Linked DNA regions of Oreochromis niloticus. The protein of the gene in region 1 interacts with the protein of each later gene in a pairwise test. Links are inferred from orthologs where the notes say so. Each region holds a gene or a part of one and is shown in the gene's direction. Other genes may lie near its edges.

Region 1 (7,963 bases):
TAGGCTTTTTAAAATGCGGCAGAGATTTTTCCTCGTGTTTTCTTAATCAGGAGAATTCCCTAAAACCTATTGAGGTTTTTTCATCATATGTATTTTCTTGTAAGAGATTATCTTTTTTTCCCTTTAAAAACAGGGCAGATTATGTTTTTAAGCAATGTTTTTCAGTAAAACATACAAACACTGTGGCTCTGTGGTGCAGTGGTTAACACATTTGCTTTACGAGTGAACGAGCCTTTGTTTGATTATGGAAGGAGACCCAAACCTGGGAATTGGGAAAACACCATCAGGAACATTTGGTGTAAAGTTTATGCCACTGTGATGACCCTTTTGGAAAAGGAGCGGATGAAAGTACTTCTTATAAAGAGACATGCTAATGATTAAATGCATGTTGTGTATGATACTGTCTAAAACTCTGCTATTTCATGGCAAAGTCACACAAGAGGTGTGACACAAATAGATGGCATCATCTTAATGATTGGATTGCATTTTTTGACATCTGGCAACCAAGTGCAAGTATTGCAAGCAACCAATGGCTCAACCAAAGGTTGATCATGCAATTCGCTCAGACTCTGGGCAGCCATGTTTGCTCCTACCTGGCGGGATGCAACCTATCTCCAATCACGTTACAACGTGGGCTTACTGATGCAATCAGTCAACTCGTTTGTGACACATTTCTTTGCATTTTTTCACGCATCTCTGGTTGTATTGTGGTTATACTCCAACATAAAAGCAACGCAATCAATCACTTTTTGTGATTGATTGATTGATGATTTTATTAAAAATGACTTAAACTATTTCCTTTGCTTCTGTGTTTATAATAGCATAACAATACTGCTCCAAAATCCAGAGCTGGATTATTAGAACCTCTGTGCTTACTTTAATATAGGAATGGTAGGAGCATTTTGGTAGTAAAACAGATAATTGCATCATACTTCACAACTAGGCAACCAGATCTTAAATGACCATGAACAAAAAGTTAATTTTGTATATCACTTTATTTTGCCTTATGAAGAAGTACTGCTTTAAAGTGACTGAAATGGGTGCTTGTTCATACATGTCACAAAAGTCAAGATGCTCCATTGGCTCTTTTTTTCTTTCACAGGCTTTCTGCTTTATTAAAAACATAAAATAAAATAAACCCTATTGGATAGTCTGAATTTACCGTTGCTTGGTCATATATAGGATTAGGTTAATGAAAATGAAAAGCTATTTATGCATAGAATACATTTCTCTGGAAAAAAAAACAAACCCTACAGTAATCATGTTTTTATCTTGTTTAACATGGAGGAATTATGCCAGCGAATAAACAATGCTTTACATAATTCCCTCAGTCAAAAAAAAAAAAAAAAAAAAAGATTGTACTTGGTTATAATTTTTAAAAAAATCCCAGAACAAGTTCTTTATCTTATCATATTTAGATGTTATCCTTTTTGTTTGATTAAGTTGGAATTCTGTTTTCCTTGTTGTCCAAATACATTTCTAGCTTGCTTGGCAATATTATATTATACTATATTACTATTGTTAGATATTTCATTCCCCATTACAATGCTTGGTTATTGCTTGGTTTCATAGTATTACCTTTTTTATGTTCTTTATTGGCATCTCCATGTTTTTTCTCCTCTTTTTTGCTTATTTGTTCTCTCTTAATAGTTTCACATTTTAAATGTTTTGTCAACTTTTGTATTATGGTGCAGTAAATAATGTGGAACTTCACAGGAAAAAAAAATGCAAGTTTCATTTTCAGATCTGCAGATAACCGAAAACGAGGTCTTCCTGGTTGGGTAAGTTCGAATTTTATTTTCCTTCTTTATAAAATTTCGGCCGCTAGGATATCACAGATATCACTTTCAGATATGATGTGCAATTTGGCCTTCTAAAATAACTCATTGATAGTTTATCAGCATCTTTTTTAATTTCCTTTTAAAGCTTTTAGCATTTTGGGGGGTTGTTTTAGCTTTTTTGGACTCTTACTGCCTTAAACTTTGTTTATTTAGCATCATGATAGTTAAATAAATGTTGAGACTGTAACTACCATGTGAACAAAAAAAGAACTCGAGCGACAAACGACATGACGTTCCTACATGAGACATCAAAAGTTCATCACTAGATGCTGTACCAAAACATTCATAACTTTCACTAACTACTTCTTTTGATGAAGTTTGATGGTATCGAAAATTTAACCCATATATTTTGTTCATATTTCATGAGCAGAGTCTAAGGGCACTCATAGTATGGTCTGGGTCAACTTCAACCTGGGCCAAAAACTGAATTTTGATCTACAGATCAATCTTAAATAAATGGATGATTAATCTGAGTTAATCTGAAGGCCACATGAAGTTTGGAGGTCTTTAGCAACTGACTCTGCAGAAAGTTGGCTGAGCAATCACTGACCCCACTCTGTAATTCTATATGGCCTACCACTTTGTGGCTTAGTTGCTGTCATTTGCTTCAACTTTGTTATAATACCACGTGCCTAGGCGACTGATTTTACACAACTGTGGCCACGAAAGTGACTGGAACACTATGAGTGATTTGGATAGATGAGTGAATACTTTTGGCAATACAGTGTGTACCTCTGTTCCTTATGACATAATGCATGATCATATATCATCACTCCTATACTCCATGACAGTGTCAAGGCCCCCATGAACTCTGTCACCACTGCTGGATAAAAAGATACTCACAGACATGGCATGTGTAGTTTCGCATTTTCAAGCTTCCCTATTGCCACCTTTTTTCCATGGTTTGACCCACAGTGATGGTTCTAAAATCCATCTGAATGAATATGGATCATATTTGACCCAGGAAAGTCTCAATGTATAACATTTTGTATATTTTGGGTCAGTTTAGGAAAAATCATCAGATATCTAGCTAATGGCATTTAGAGCATTTATTTTGTATTAATTATTGCCAGGGTATCTCTATTTGGCCATTTTAGGTAACAGTTGCACGAATCCTACTCCTCCAATTACCTCAGCTAGAGACAGACCCTCATTGATGTCTGATAGATTAAAAAGTGACCAATGTGGAAACTTTCACAGAGTACCCACAGGGCTCTTTGAAGTCTCTCTTCCCCATATGCAATAGGATTTTGAGTGAGTTCAACAAGATAGAAGGATGAACTGAGGGAGGAGTGCCTGTGTGGAAAGGCTTCAAGCCAACAGATAGCATGTTCAGACTAGGTGCACAAATTCTTATGAAATAATCTGTTAAGTTTATGACTTCAGGTAAAATACAGGCACTGTTTTGCATCTAAGGTAGATGCTGTATGACTTCAGGTAAAATACAGGCACTGTTTTGCATCTAATGGTAGTAGATGCTGTATAGTCTGAACAAGCAAACCACATAGCTTACAACGATGCTATAGGCAGGTGTAGGCACTCCAGGCCTCGAGTGCCGGTATCCTGCAAGTTTTAGATGTGTCCTTGATCCAACACAGCTGATTCAAATTGTTAAATTACCTCCTCAACATGCCTTGAAGTTCTCCAGAGGCCTGGTAATGAACTAATCATTTGATTCAGGTGTGTTGACCCAGGGTGATATCTAAAACCTGCAGGACACCGGCACTCAAGGCCTGGAGTTGCCTATCCCCTGCTATTGGTAATGAACAATAACAAAGTTATTACATAAAGCAGTACATGTCTCTCTTAGCCCCTCTCCATTGCTCTAAGAAAAAAATATGCTGTTATGAATACCTTTTCTGTGAAAATCGCCTGGGCTGATGATACTGTGGGTTTATCTGAGAACAGTATAGATGGCAGGATTGCAGATGAGAACCCCCACCTCTCAACAGTTCCAAACAACAACAACAACAACAACCAACAAGATAAATTTAAGTGTTCCCCACGTTTTGGCAGAAGAGTTCTTTCAACATAACATCTACTGTTTGTGGATGCTGTCCTGACTTGCACTGCATTTTCACAGCTCTGTAGGGCTGCTCACTATTTCAGATATACCTTGTTATGTAGTAGTCTGTATACCAATGTGCAATTTTAAGATTTCGTTTCATTCTTGCACATCTTTGCTTAGCTGTTATCCATATTATCCATATATCCATATTATATATTATACTACATTATACACAGCATAGTATAGTAAATATTCAAGTACAAATGTGTTGAATGAATTAAACTGCACTTTAATATTCTGGTGTGGTCTAATAACTGTTATTTAGCGTGCATTGGCATGGTTACTCTACTTCTACCACAAAAAGGTAACAGTGGTAAGCAAAATAACCTATGATAGATTTAGGACAATACTAGACAATGCATTGAATGCATACTAAATGTTAGTCACAACTTTGTATATCAGTGTACAGAGGAGAGAAATGTAACTCATTTATTAACATTTTCTAGCCAGAAATAGTGAAATGTGTGATTTCGTTTGTTTTGACACTACAGCAGTTTTTTTTATACTTAAATTGACTTAAAAGTGTGTAATTTTTCTGTTGCAGCTGCCTACTTTATATTTATATATACAGGGATACTCAGTTCAGGGAATAAACTTAAATTAACATAAATCTTTGAAAAAACGTATACATGCTTAGCCACAATATCTTATTGGACGTTATATTTGTGAAGATTTTGTCTGTAACTAGACAGGGCTGCATTTTGATATGTGAAAAGCGAACGTGTCAGTCAAGAAAAGGTGTCCATAAAGACATATTCCTTCAAGTTTATGTGTTTCTTCCTATAGTTTTTATATACACACTTTTTGAAAAAAAGAACTGTGCCCTAAACGAGTGAGTAACCATATATAGTAACTTCACTGGGCCTGGTTTACAGCATAAAAATGAACAGTTTTGAAAAGTCGCACAAGTGAAGAAAAAAAAAAGCCTAGAGTTAGAATTGACAATTTACATATAAATTTCAACGAGTGCCGCATAAAGGGTTAATACTTTTTGTTTTGTTTTATTTTATTTTCCCCCTGCCCGTATAACGCAGATGGCTCTGCGAAAATGTTTAAATGCCAGTTTATGAGCCATTACATCCGTCTGTGTGTGTGTATTTGCACGCGCGCTTGAGCATGTCGCGTATTGATGACGTCCGAACGCTGACATCGCACACAGACTGATTTAGCACCAAAAGTCCAGTAAGTAGGTGTATTTTACACTTTTATTTTACTGATCTTACAGAGTCGAGGTAAACGAGTCGTTGTTTTAACGTATGACTACGAGACTTCACGCTTGGGGAACCATTTTTCGAAGCCATCGTCACTGCTACATGTTAGCCATAGCTATTAGCACAAATGGTACAACTGCAAACTTTTCATCTAACCAGACTGAGATCAGCCTCAGGAACTTAGTTGATGAGCTCCCCTGATCCTCCCTTGTCTAAGATGAACGAGCATCTTCTCACACTGAATGCTGAGTTGTGAGCATTGCGATAACATATGTTTCCCCGAAGAAGAAACCTTTCATATCACTTGTCAAAGTTAACATAAAGCTATGTTTTACAGTGCAGCGCTGTCTAATTATTCCTGTCGGTATAAACTGACTCGGATAAATCAGATTTTATCGTTTTCATTACAGTGTAGCAAATGGTAAATGTTCGACTTCACAATATACTTTATGTAGGTTAGTAAGCAGCCTGTATTTCATTGGAAACTGCAACACAAACCGAAAAGTCACCTGTGTAGTTGTGGTGCACAGGGTAATGCTTTAGGTGAAATGTAAAGTCCATGTATGATCTTTAACTGCATTTATATTGACAGTATGTATGATTTAAGAAACTGAACTGAAAAGTACGATGTGGTCATATATGCTCTATGCTCAGGGTTAAGTTTATTCTTCATTTTAGTTAGTAGTTATTTAGTTGTGTGAAGGGAACCTGCAAAGTAAGAATTTCATTGTTCTGCGTAACCACTTGTGTTTTGCGGTGTATATGACAATAAACCTGTTGAGTATAATGCATTGGTTAATATTTGATGTGAAAATCTACATATCAGAAATGAATGACAAGGCTGATATGAAATATATTAAAGGATTATCCTTTTGTATTTTATTTTCCATAAATGTATGTATGTATGTATTTATTTATTTCTCAAACTGGAATTGCACATTTACAAGAACCTTTAAATAACTGTATTGCGCCAGTGTTTGGCATGTGACATAAAATAGGCTTTCCCCCTCTGTAATAGTAAACCAGTACGTAACCACCTGCTATGCAAGCCAAAAGTTTTACATTACATTGAATCACAAATGCTAGAAACATGTATGTATATTATGACATTTACCGCTATGTCTTTCTTTCAGTGCAGTTAGAATCTCAGATGAGCCATAAAACAAAGCTCCTCATTGTGCAGTGTGGAATGAGTTTGTTACAGTCTTTAATAGGAATCTGTGTGTTTTTTGTGGTATTTCAATAACGTGATATAGAACAATGTTTGAATAAACAAGCACCTAATTATATAAAAATCCCCTATGGAGGGAAAAAAACAAACAAATCCCTATCCCGTATGTATTTACTTGAAATAAAGGTTTATTATTTTTCTCTGTCTTGAATGTCTGTGACATAAATTGACCTTTCCATGTGAAAATGGAGGAAGCAAAGACAAAAAGCAACTTTTGGCCATTTTTATTACAATTTAAAAAAAAAAAAAAAAATTAATTAAAAAAGGAAAAAAATACAGGACAGATGGACTTTTAGTGCTGTACTGCAGAATAAAGGAAACAGTTAACTGTAATTAGTGTGATCCACACTGCGGAATTCATCCAGGATTCAACTTCAGCCATTTCTGGATAGCTGTAGCTTGCAGACATCAATTACAGTTAGGTTATGCAACTATGTTAAACCAGTGTGTTAATTTGTTTTAGTTGGGTGTCAATATTTAGCAAAAAATTTGCTAAGAAGTTCCTTAAAAAAAAAAAAAAAAAAGTGTGCATAGTCATCCATTAAAAGTAAAGACAGTCACAAATAAAACAAACCGTTCTCGCAGTGCTTAATGCCCCTGCAGACGGTGTGACCACGGGAAGCTGTAAATATGAAAGGCTGTCTGTCATGGTCTGCTTTGCTGATTGCTTTTCATTTCCTCATTGACAATGTGTCTCCAAATAAAAGAAACTCCTTCGCACTTCATCATGAAACTAATGATAGTGCTTTCTATTTATTAATGCCAGTGCCATGCTGCTCTCACTCGCCTGCGCTGAAATGCAATATAAATCATTGTATTTGGTTCTGAATCTAGCGAGGCATGGAAAATTCATGTCTTAATGAAAGAAAAGAGCCTAAATGCTTGCATAATAGGAAAATGCATTTAACAGTGTGTTTTCAAGGGATTTCAAGCTGGAGCGTAACCTTTTACATGTTACTCAGCATCTAAGATTGATCAAAGGAAACCACATGTTAGTTCTTGGGAACTGACATGTGGGAGAATAAAGAATAAGGGAAAGTAGTCCAACTGTAATTTTTTTTTTCTTCTTCCTCCTTGATTTCTGTGGTATTGTGTGATGCTGTGATATGAGTAACACCATGAAACCTGGGGCACTGACAAAATCCTTTTCCCTTTTGACCTTAAATCACTTAGCTCTTCCTCCTTCCACCAAGTAAAGTGTTACCGATTACATTGCCCAGTTTCTGTTGACATTATGACACATCTTTTAAATGCCGTTAACTGTTTTGACAGGAGATGTCGTCTTTTTGCGGCACCGGTGATGATTTTCAAGATGCAGGTCGAGAGACCGCTGAAAAACAGGCAAGTGTAGTGCGTGACATGAGAGATTTTTATTTATTTATTTATTTTAAGGTATTTGTATGAACTGAAGTCTTCTAAATGCCTTTCTTAAGTGAGATGGTGATTAAAAACTTGTGAGAATTTGAAAAATGTTACACTAAAATGCTGCTAAAAATTGCAAAATAAAATAATAAACATTTTAATTGAAGTTAATTATTTTAATGCACATTGTGTTATCCTTGCTGCTTTCCTAATACAACAGTCACACCTTGGAGCTTAGGATGTATTAACT
Region 2 (7,290 bases), on another chromosome or scaffold:
TGATTTTAATTAACAATTGCAAAATACTTGATCAACCATTTTTTTCATCAGTTGAAGATGACATGAAAAAATATTTTGTTGGAATTAGAATCCCCATAGTGTACATCTGCACCGCAGTTATAACTGTACGAGAATTATCAACTGGCCTAGTTTGGGAGACAAAAGAAGGCACCACCACTACAACATCTGCAAATACAGTCATTAAAACTGAAATGGGAACAACACCATTATCAAACACAGCATAGACCTATGCTTTAAAAGGAAATATCTGACTTAAATTTATTTTGCAGTTTATTCCAGTATCGGCATGCTCTAAATCTGTGTTCCTCAGCTTTTACGGTTAACTTAAACAGCAGTATCATAACTGTTTAATTCAAGCTAAACTCTCTGTTAAATATCTCATCAACTCTGAGGCTTGATAAATAGGAAAACTGGAATACTGGGACTTTCTGGATGTGAGCACCAAATTCTTGAGTAACAATCTGAAAGGTACACATCCCATAGTAAGTCTTTTGTCTTCCTTCCCTCACCCCCAAATGGTCGCGGCAGATGGCCGCCCCTCCTGTTAAAAGGGAGTTTTTCCTTCCCACTGTCATCAAATGCTTGCTCAAAAGGAGTCGTTTGATTGTTGGGGTTTTCTCTCTTTTATTGTAGGGTCTTTACCTTACAATATAAAGTGCCTTGGGGCAACTTGGGGCAAACTGAACTGAACTGAATTAAACAGGTAATGTGAAAAATGGTGACCAGTGACTCAATATTAACATATGGACAGCACGAGGATTCAGAAAATCTCTAGTCAGTTTAAATTTTCAAATTTAACACTAGGCAACTTGGCAAATACTATATTATCCACTAGATTTTCACTGAAGATGATGAATTGCATAGAAACATCAAAGCCTTCTCCCTTTGGAGAAATGAAATTGTAAACAAGGTCTAAAGGTCGAACAGAGATCATCATTAGAGAGAAACCCTGCCTTGAGGTGTAGCTGATATCGACATAAACATGGACATAGTAAGGTGGTATCCTAGGTGTAGCTCCTTAAAATCTTGGATGAGTTCAAATCACAGGAACCTCAACCTCAACCTCAGAGTCAAGGTCAGAGGTCAAGTCTTCTGAAAATCTTGTGAATATGATAACTCAAGAAGGAAGTCACCTAGGATTTTCAAATTCATACCACAGGTGCAGCAACAAAAAATCTTGCACGAGTTTGAATCTCAGTGACCTCGACCTCAAGGTCAGAGGTCAACTTTTCTGAAAATCACCTAGGATTTTTAAATTCATACCATCTACTGGGAGTCTGAGGAGTAGCATTGGCAGCTGCCAGTATTTTTTTTAAGTATGCAGTCTGTGATTGAGAATATCATCCACAACAACAAAAAACAAAAGCAAACGCATATGATGAATAACTGTTTGTGCAGCTTTGCGCTCTTGTTTATTTTCTTGACATACCTGAGTTTGAGGGGCAGCCAGGGTTGTTTTCTTTTGCTTTTCAATATAGCTTTCTCAGTGCACCTCCAGTCCTAACATATTTGTTTGGCAATTGAAAAGTTGCTGGTTTGATTCCAGTCATAAACACAAATCCCCTTTAAGATTGCGTATCAGGAAGGGCATCCAGCGTAAAACTCAAATCAAAACATGCAGAGCTGAAAGCTTCTGGTATATATGGCTTTCTCTGTGTTTCTGAAGACCAAAGTTTCGTTCACTCAAATAAGATTAGACACAGAGCCTCTTCTTTCATTTTCCCTTTCCATCATTCTTTCATTTCTCTGTCTCCTCGCAGTCTATCTAAGCCCCCATCTCATGCCATCGCAATGCTTCTTTGTGGCACCTGGCCCTCACTGCTTCCTCTGTGAAATAGCTTTCACACTCAGTGACTTCTGTGGAATGTGAATGAAGCTGCTGCAAGGGTCATTTTTTACTACCTACCAATCATAGTCCTCGCTATGATGTGACAGTTGAGTCATAAACACATACGCTTGTGCACACACACACACACACACACACACACACATATATATATATCTTATACATATTATATATATATGTGCAAAAACCCAAACAAAAGACCCTTAAAATGTGGTTCCTTTGCAGCTTATTGTGTATTGGTGCTGTGCTCCTCAGAGCAGTAAATAAATAATGAGAACACGGTTAAAATTCTGCCAGTATTCCATTGCTCTGCTGCCTTTTGCCTCACGATAAAGAAAAGGAAGGCCTCAGTGGAAATGCAATTTCTCTTTTTTCTTTCATTTTTACATATTTCTGTTCCCCACTTCTTTAATCTCCCTGCGATTATTCCCTTTTCCCTACTCTTTTATGTCTTGTTCTCCCTTAAAAAAAACTTCTCTGCTTCGTCTGAAATTCACCGCTGTTGTTACCTTGCTATTCCTGAGTGTTTGCCATTAACATTTTTGCAAAACAAAAGCTTCCAATTCATCTCTCTTGTTCATTTTAGCAATGCGAAATGTGCCAGAAAAACAAAAAAAGAGAAAAAAGTGAAGCACTTCACATTAGAGAATAATTTGCATCTCCTTTCTTTTAAATTTCTCCAAAGGTACTCATTATTTTGAAATACTTTTAGCAGTATATTCTTTTCCTTTCTTTTAAACCAGTAATTGTCATTATCTTGTTTTACCGCACCTACATTTAAGAACCAAGTTGTTTTATGTATTGAAATGACAACTTAAAAGGAAAAGAATTACATGCTAAATGCTGATAAATTACGCCAACATAAAGGACTACCAAAAGGATTTAAATGCTTTTTAGCTTTTCCATTTAAAAATGCCCTTTTTAAAAAAATGCCAGGACAAAGGTGAAGTTGGGTGGAGATAGAAAAGGGCGGCAACCTGCGGGCTACGTCCCCTTTGTTCAGGTGGGAATGAAAGAAGCAGTGGTGGGTAATGTGAAATGACAACCACTGGTATTTAAGCTGGAGACGGATCATAATGCGAGCCAGATCTGTCTGTTTAAATGCGATGCTCTCTACTTTTCTCTTCCTTGTGGAACGGACAGTTGATATTTCAGAGAATAATAAGATAACACTCTGACATTTTATATTGAGATGAAGATCTAAAGCGGACAAATTGGGGCTGAATGATGCACATGAGTGCAACAGATAACAAGACGACGAGATCGGTGTGTGCGTGTTTTCTGTGAGTACTGCTAAGTGTGTGGGGTGCATTCGGTATTACTGGCTATGCAGCAAAATACATGTAAGCCTGTTGAACCAGACACAGCCACCATGAAATCCTGTTTCAGACTGGCTTACAGCGAATAACACACACAAAGGGGAGGCTGAATGTGTGTGAGAGAGACACAAAGAGGGAGAGAGAAAGCAGCAGATAAAAACAAACTAAGTGGCACAGGACTAGATGTTGACAAAAGGGTGGTCTTAATTAAACGGCAGTTAATAAAGGTCTACGTGTGATGTATTAGAGAGGATTCACACATATAAAGATGGAAAAACTGAAAAGTGGCAGGCAGAAAATTAAAAGTATCCTTATGTAAAGGTTAATCTGAGTATGGCAGCATGTCATTCTTGTCCCATGGAGTGTCTCACTTCTCCAGCCTTGTGGTACTTGGCATTGGCGCTGCAGCAAAGGTGCCACTAAAGCCTTTCTAAATAGAAAATAAGTGGTGTTCTGAGTGTGAGCACAGAGCTCCACAGGGAAAACTAGGGAGAAGGAATTGTACCCACAAATATCTCCCAGCCTGTGCAGATACTTAAAATGAAACATCTCCATATGCCTCCGCCTCACCCTCCCCTCAGCAGGTCATTTTGATTACTGCAGAAACCCCTTGTTTCCACCCCTTCTCCACTTCACCAGTGATCTCCCACACAGTCATTTGCATTTTCTATCTTGGCTTTCTTCCATATCTTTCGATTTATCCTGTCACACCTGTTATTCACTTGTTTTTCTTCTTTTCCACCCCCCTGTTTCGCTTCCCTCCTTCTTTGTGGCAGCACAGAACCTCATCTAAATGCACAGCCAGTCATCAGCTCTCTACCTGCTCTGGGCATTTTTATTGGAATGAAAAAGTGCAATCATCCTTTTTCTTTCTGATACAGCTCAACAAGGGTTGACACTGAATTGCTTAAATGAACAGATTCCCCACTTTTCTTGCATGTCTTGGTAGTACAGTGCATGAAAATCTTGATATTTCATTCACTTTTATGTGGCGTTGCTCGTTATCTTGTCCTGTCCTGCCGAAACAGAGCGCATAGACTTTCCAGTGCTTGCTCTCTTGCCTGCAGACAAGCAGAGCGAGAGAGGCAGGGGAGAGGAGAGTGTAAGGAGGAGGGAGAGGGTAGCAAATGAGGTGTGGGTAAAAATTATGGGGGACTGGAAAAGAGAGCAGTGGCCCAGCCCTGGATATGGAGAGAAAGAGGGTGGGGGAGAGACAGAGGAAGAAAGAGATTATACAGTGTAAAACCAGAAGATGCAGTTTTAGTAGTAGTGCGACGTGCAGATCAGTAAGCTCCTTCACCGCTGGGGAACAACCGCCTTTTGTTTCTCTCCCTCCACTGCAGTGGGGGGGTGCATTTATCGTCTTGCCCAGGGGGAGAAGCCAAGAAGTATCCTCCAATCAGCCTTTAATGATTTCTCTCGTCTTGTGAGGCTGCTGACGGTGATTTATCACTGACCTGAGACTAGCGCTGCACTCTGCACAACACTCTAACCACCTGGAATACTCGCCATGGTTTTTATTTCTTTTCTTACAAATAAATATCCTCCTGTGGATGTTTCAAAGGGAAAGACCAGAGGACAAAAGAAGGATTAAAATGGACTTACTGACTGATGTTCTTGAATTTCCTGCAGCACACTGAAGATGGACTAACTTTGACACAAGTACAGGACATATTTTTACACCCACCACTCTAACAGAAAGGCTGCATTTGTCACAGCGTGCCATGCCATATTTTATTCTGAAAGCATGGCAGGCTGGGAAGCATCCTAAACACTCCACTGCAACAATCATGTAGGACTGACACTCAGGTATAGGTAGATGATGATGATGAGCAGGAGATGGAAAGACTGGGTGACAGTTGGAACTGGCTTGCCTGCTGAGCCTGTCTGGCACTTCACTATAGGTTGATTGGCCGTCTGCTCTCGAGAGTTCAACTATCAGGTTGTTTCTCCCAAGTTATCATGCGGTTCATTGAGTGTATTTAGCTCTCCTCTGTGCTTGTGTGAGTGAGGATGCCACTCGGTGTGTGTGTGTGGTGTTTGGGATTACACAGCCTCTGGAAAGAATACAGGTGTAGCAGAGCCTTGAATAAGGATTAGCAGCTGTAACACCTTGTCACTGGCAGCAGACAGCGCGATGGTACTTTGAGACAAGACTTTCAAACTATGACCTCTTGCTGGAGGATTAATGATAACGCTCTGTGTAATATGATGACACTTAAAGGGCAAAGGAGGAGACAGGAATACGGCATATTCTAATTCCAGTTATCTTTGAAGGACGCAGACTTGGGCTAATCCTAAAGCAAACGGGAGTTTTAATTCATATTTAAATTCAGTGAGACAGTTTACAACAGCTTCATTTGAAGAGTTAAAACTAAAGCATCAGAATTAGTAACAGTGCAAAGCAGGCCTACAAATTCATAAAAAATAACCTGCCTTTCTAAATGAATTAATTGGATATGTGACAGACAACAACCCACCCAGTACAAAATCCAGCTGATCAATGAATCAGTTTTGTATTGATTTCCCAACACAGACACGATTGGAGGTTTCAGTAAATATAACCAATCAGTGAGTCCAACCCATGAGCAGTTAGGTATAGTCCTGAGTGTGGTTTAGCTGAATATGAGTGGTTTAATACTGGTCATGACTTCTGACAACAGATCAGATAAATGCTGCAGTTTCTGTATGTTTTATTTGCTTGTATTGTTTGGAGAAGCTTTATGAAAAATGACAGTTCTGCTGACAGTTACAGGAAAATTGGCACTCCCTCCGTGCAGTAAAGCTTGTAGTTGAAAGAATCGTGTCTTGTTTCCTGTCTTGATGTGTCTGTAGGTGTGCTTGTCTTTAGGTTGTTGTCTGTGGCACGCAGCTTATCTTAGCTGCACAGCAAGGGCTTAGAGATCCAGGCTACTGGCATAATGGGCACCACCCAACCTGCCCCACCTCCCTACTCGGTGCATTTCAATAGATTTAAATTATGAAATTACTTTAAACACGCATTGATCCTTAAGTGGAGGATCAGAATAGGTAAAGAGGGTTCTAAAAAGGCACCGATGAGGCTAAATTATCTCAGCAGCCACACTCAGCAGTCCTGGAAAGAGAGAAAGAGTGTAGTAGGTGGGAAGCTCCATGTGGCAGCAATGATAGCAGAAGGAAAAAACAAAACTGAGGCAAATTCTTTGATAGCTGCATTGTTTGCATCTAACGGGCTCAAAGAGCATTTTTGAAAATGTGCTTTTTGGAAGTTTAGTTCTTTGAGTGAAAAAGACTCAGGAACAGCGTGGGAGAGTTCAGCGAGAGTTCTTCTGGGAAAACTTTGTCTTTTAGTGCAGTTTTTCAAACTAAAAAGCCACTGTTGCAATTTACAGCAAGCTTTCAGTGTGATCATTTTTGAAAAGTTACTGGATAAGCACAACATTTTATGCCTGATCTATTGAATGACACACAAACCAGCAGGACTCTTGAAGCACATCTTTTCCACAGATCCAGTCAAAAATCCTTCCTGATCTACAACAAGCACACAAACCTAAACAAGACACATTTCTGCTTGCCATGGAAACAGAAACTAACACGTGGGCTTGCTGCTCTGAAACTATCTCCACGTTTAAATTTACTCTGGATTATAACACTTGAGCTGCAAACAGCACAGAAGAGAAGCGAACAGTGACACAGCCAATTAAACTGTGTTATTCCCAGCCAAGGATGTGTTGTGTGTTACTCTGAGGAGGACTAGTTGTATGCTACAACCCTGCGAATGAGGGTGGGGCTTTCCCACTGCCATAGACAAAGACCGCACAAAGAATCCTGGCGTGAGCGTTGCTCATCTGGGGCAGTTGTGGGACCTGCACAGCCACGATGGGGTGCAACATGTGTGTGGTCCAAAAACCTGAGGAACAATACAGGGTCATGTTCCAGGTGAGCTGTCTGTCTCCTCTCCTCTCTTTGTCCTTTGACTTTCTTGAATTTCTTTCTTCGTGAGTCTTCAAGCGGAAGTGTTTGTGTGTGTCCCCAAAGTATTCTTTGCTATTCTCTCCCAACTTGTTATTTTCCTTACAGTGAAGCTGCTGCACAGGTCACAACCACCTTTCTCAGAAATCAGCA

What was found.
Region 2: the proteins of apip (region 1) and PDZ domain-containing protein 4 interact in a two-hybrid assay, tested with the Homo sapiens proteins (2 studies listed by BioGRID and IntAct). The two-hybrid records come from large-scale screens. The link is inferred for Oreochromis niloticus from reciprocal best matches to the Homo sapiens genes APIP and PDZD4.

Annotation. Positions count from the first base shown.
Region 1 is NC_031965.2:9,390,474-9,398,436, forward strand, and holds the start of apip (methylthioribulose-1-phosphate dehydratase), read left to right. Parts: upstream 1-4,957; 5' UTR 4,958-5,091; exon of another isoform or gene 5,092-5,095; intron 5,096-7,623; 5' UTR 7,624-7,626; coding exon 7,627-7,692; intron 7,693-7,963. UniProt on the Homo sapiens protein: Catalyzes the dehydration of methylthioribulose-1-phosphate (MTRu-1-P) into 2,3-diketo-5-methylthiopentyl-1-phosphate (DK-MTP-1-P).
Region 2 is NC_031984.2:10,819,350-10,826,639, reverse strand, and holds the start of PDZ domain-containing protein 4, read left to right. Parts: upstream 1-4,278; 5' UTR 4,279-7,044; coding exon 7,045-7,104; intron 7,105-7,290.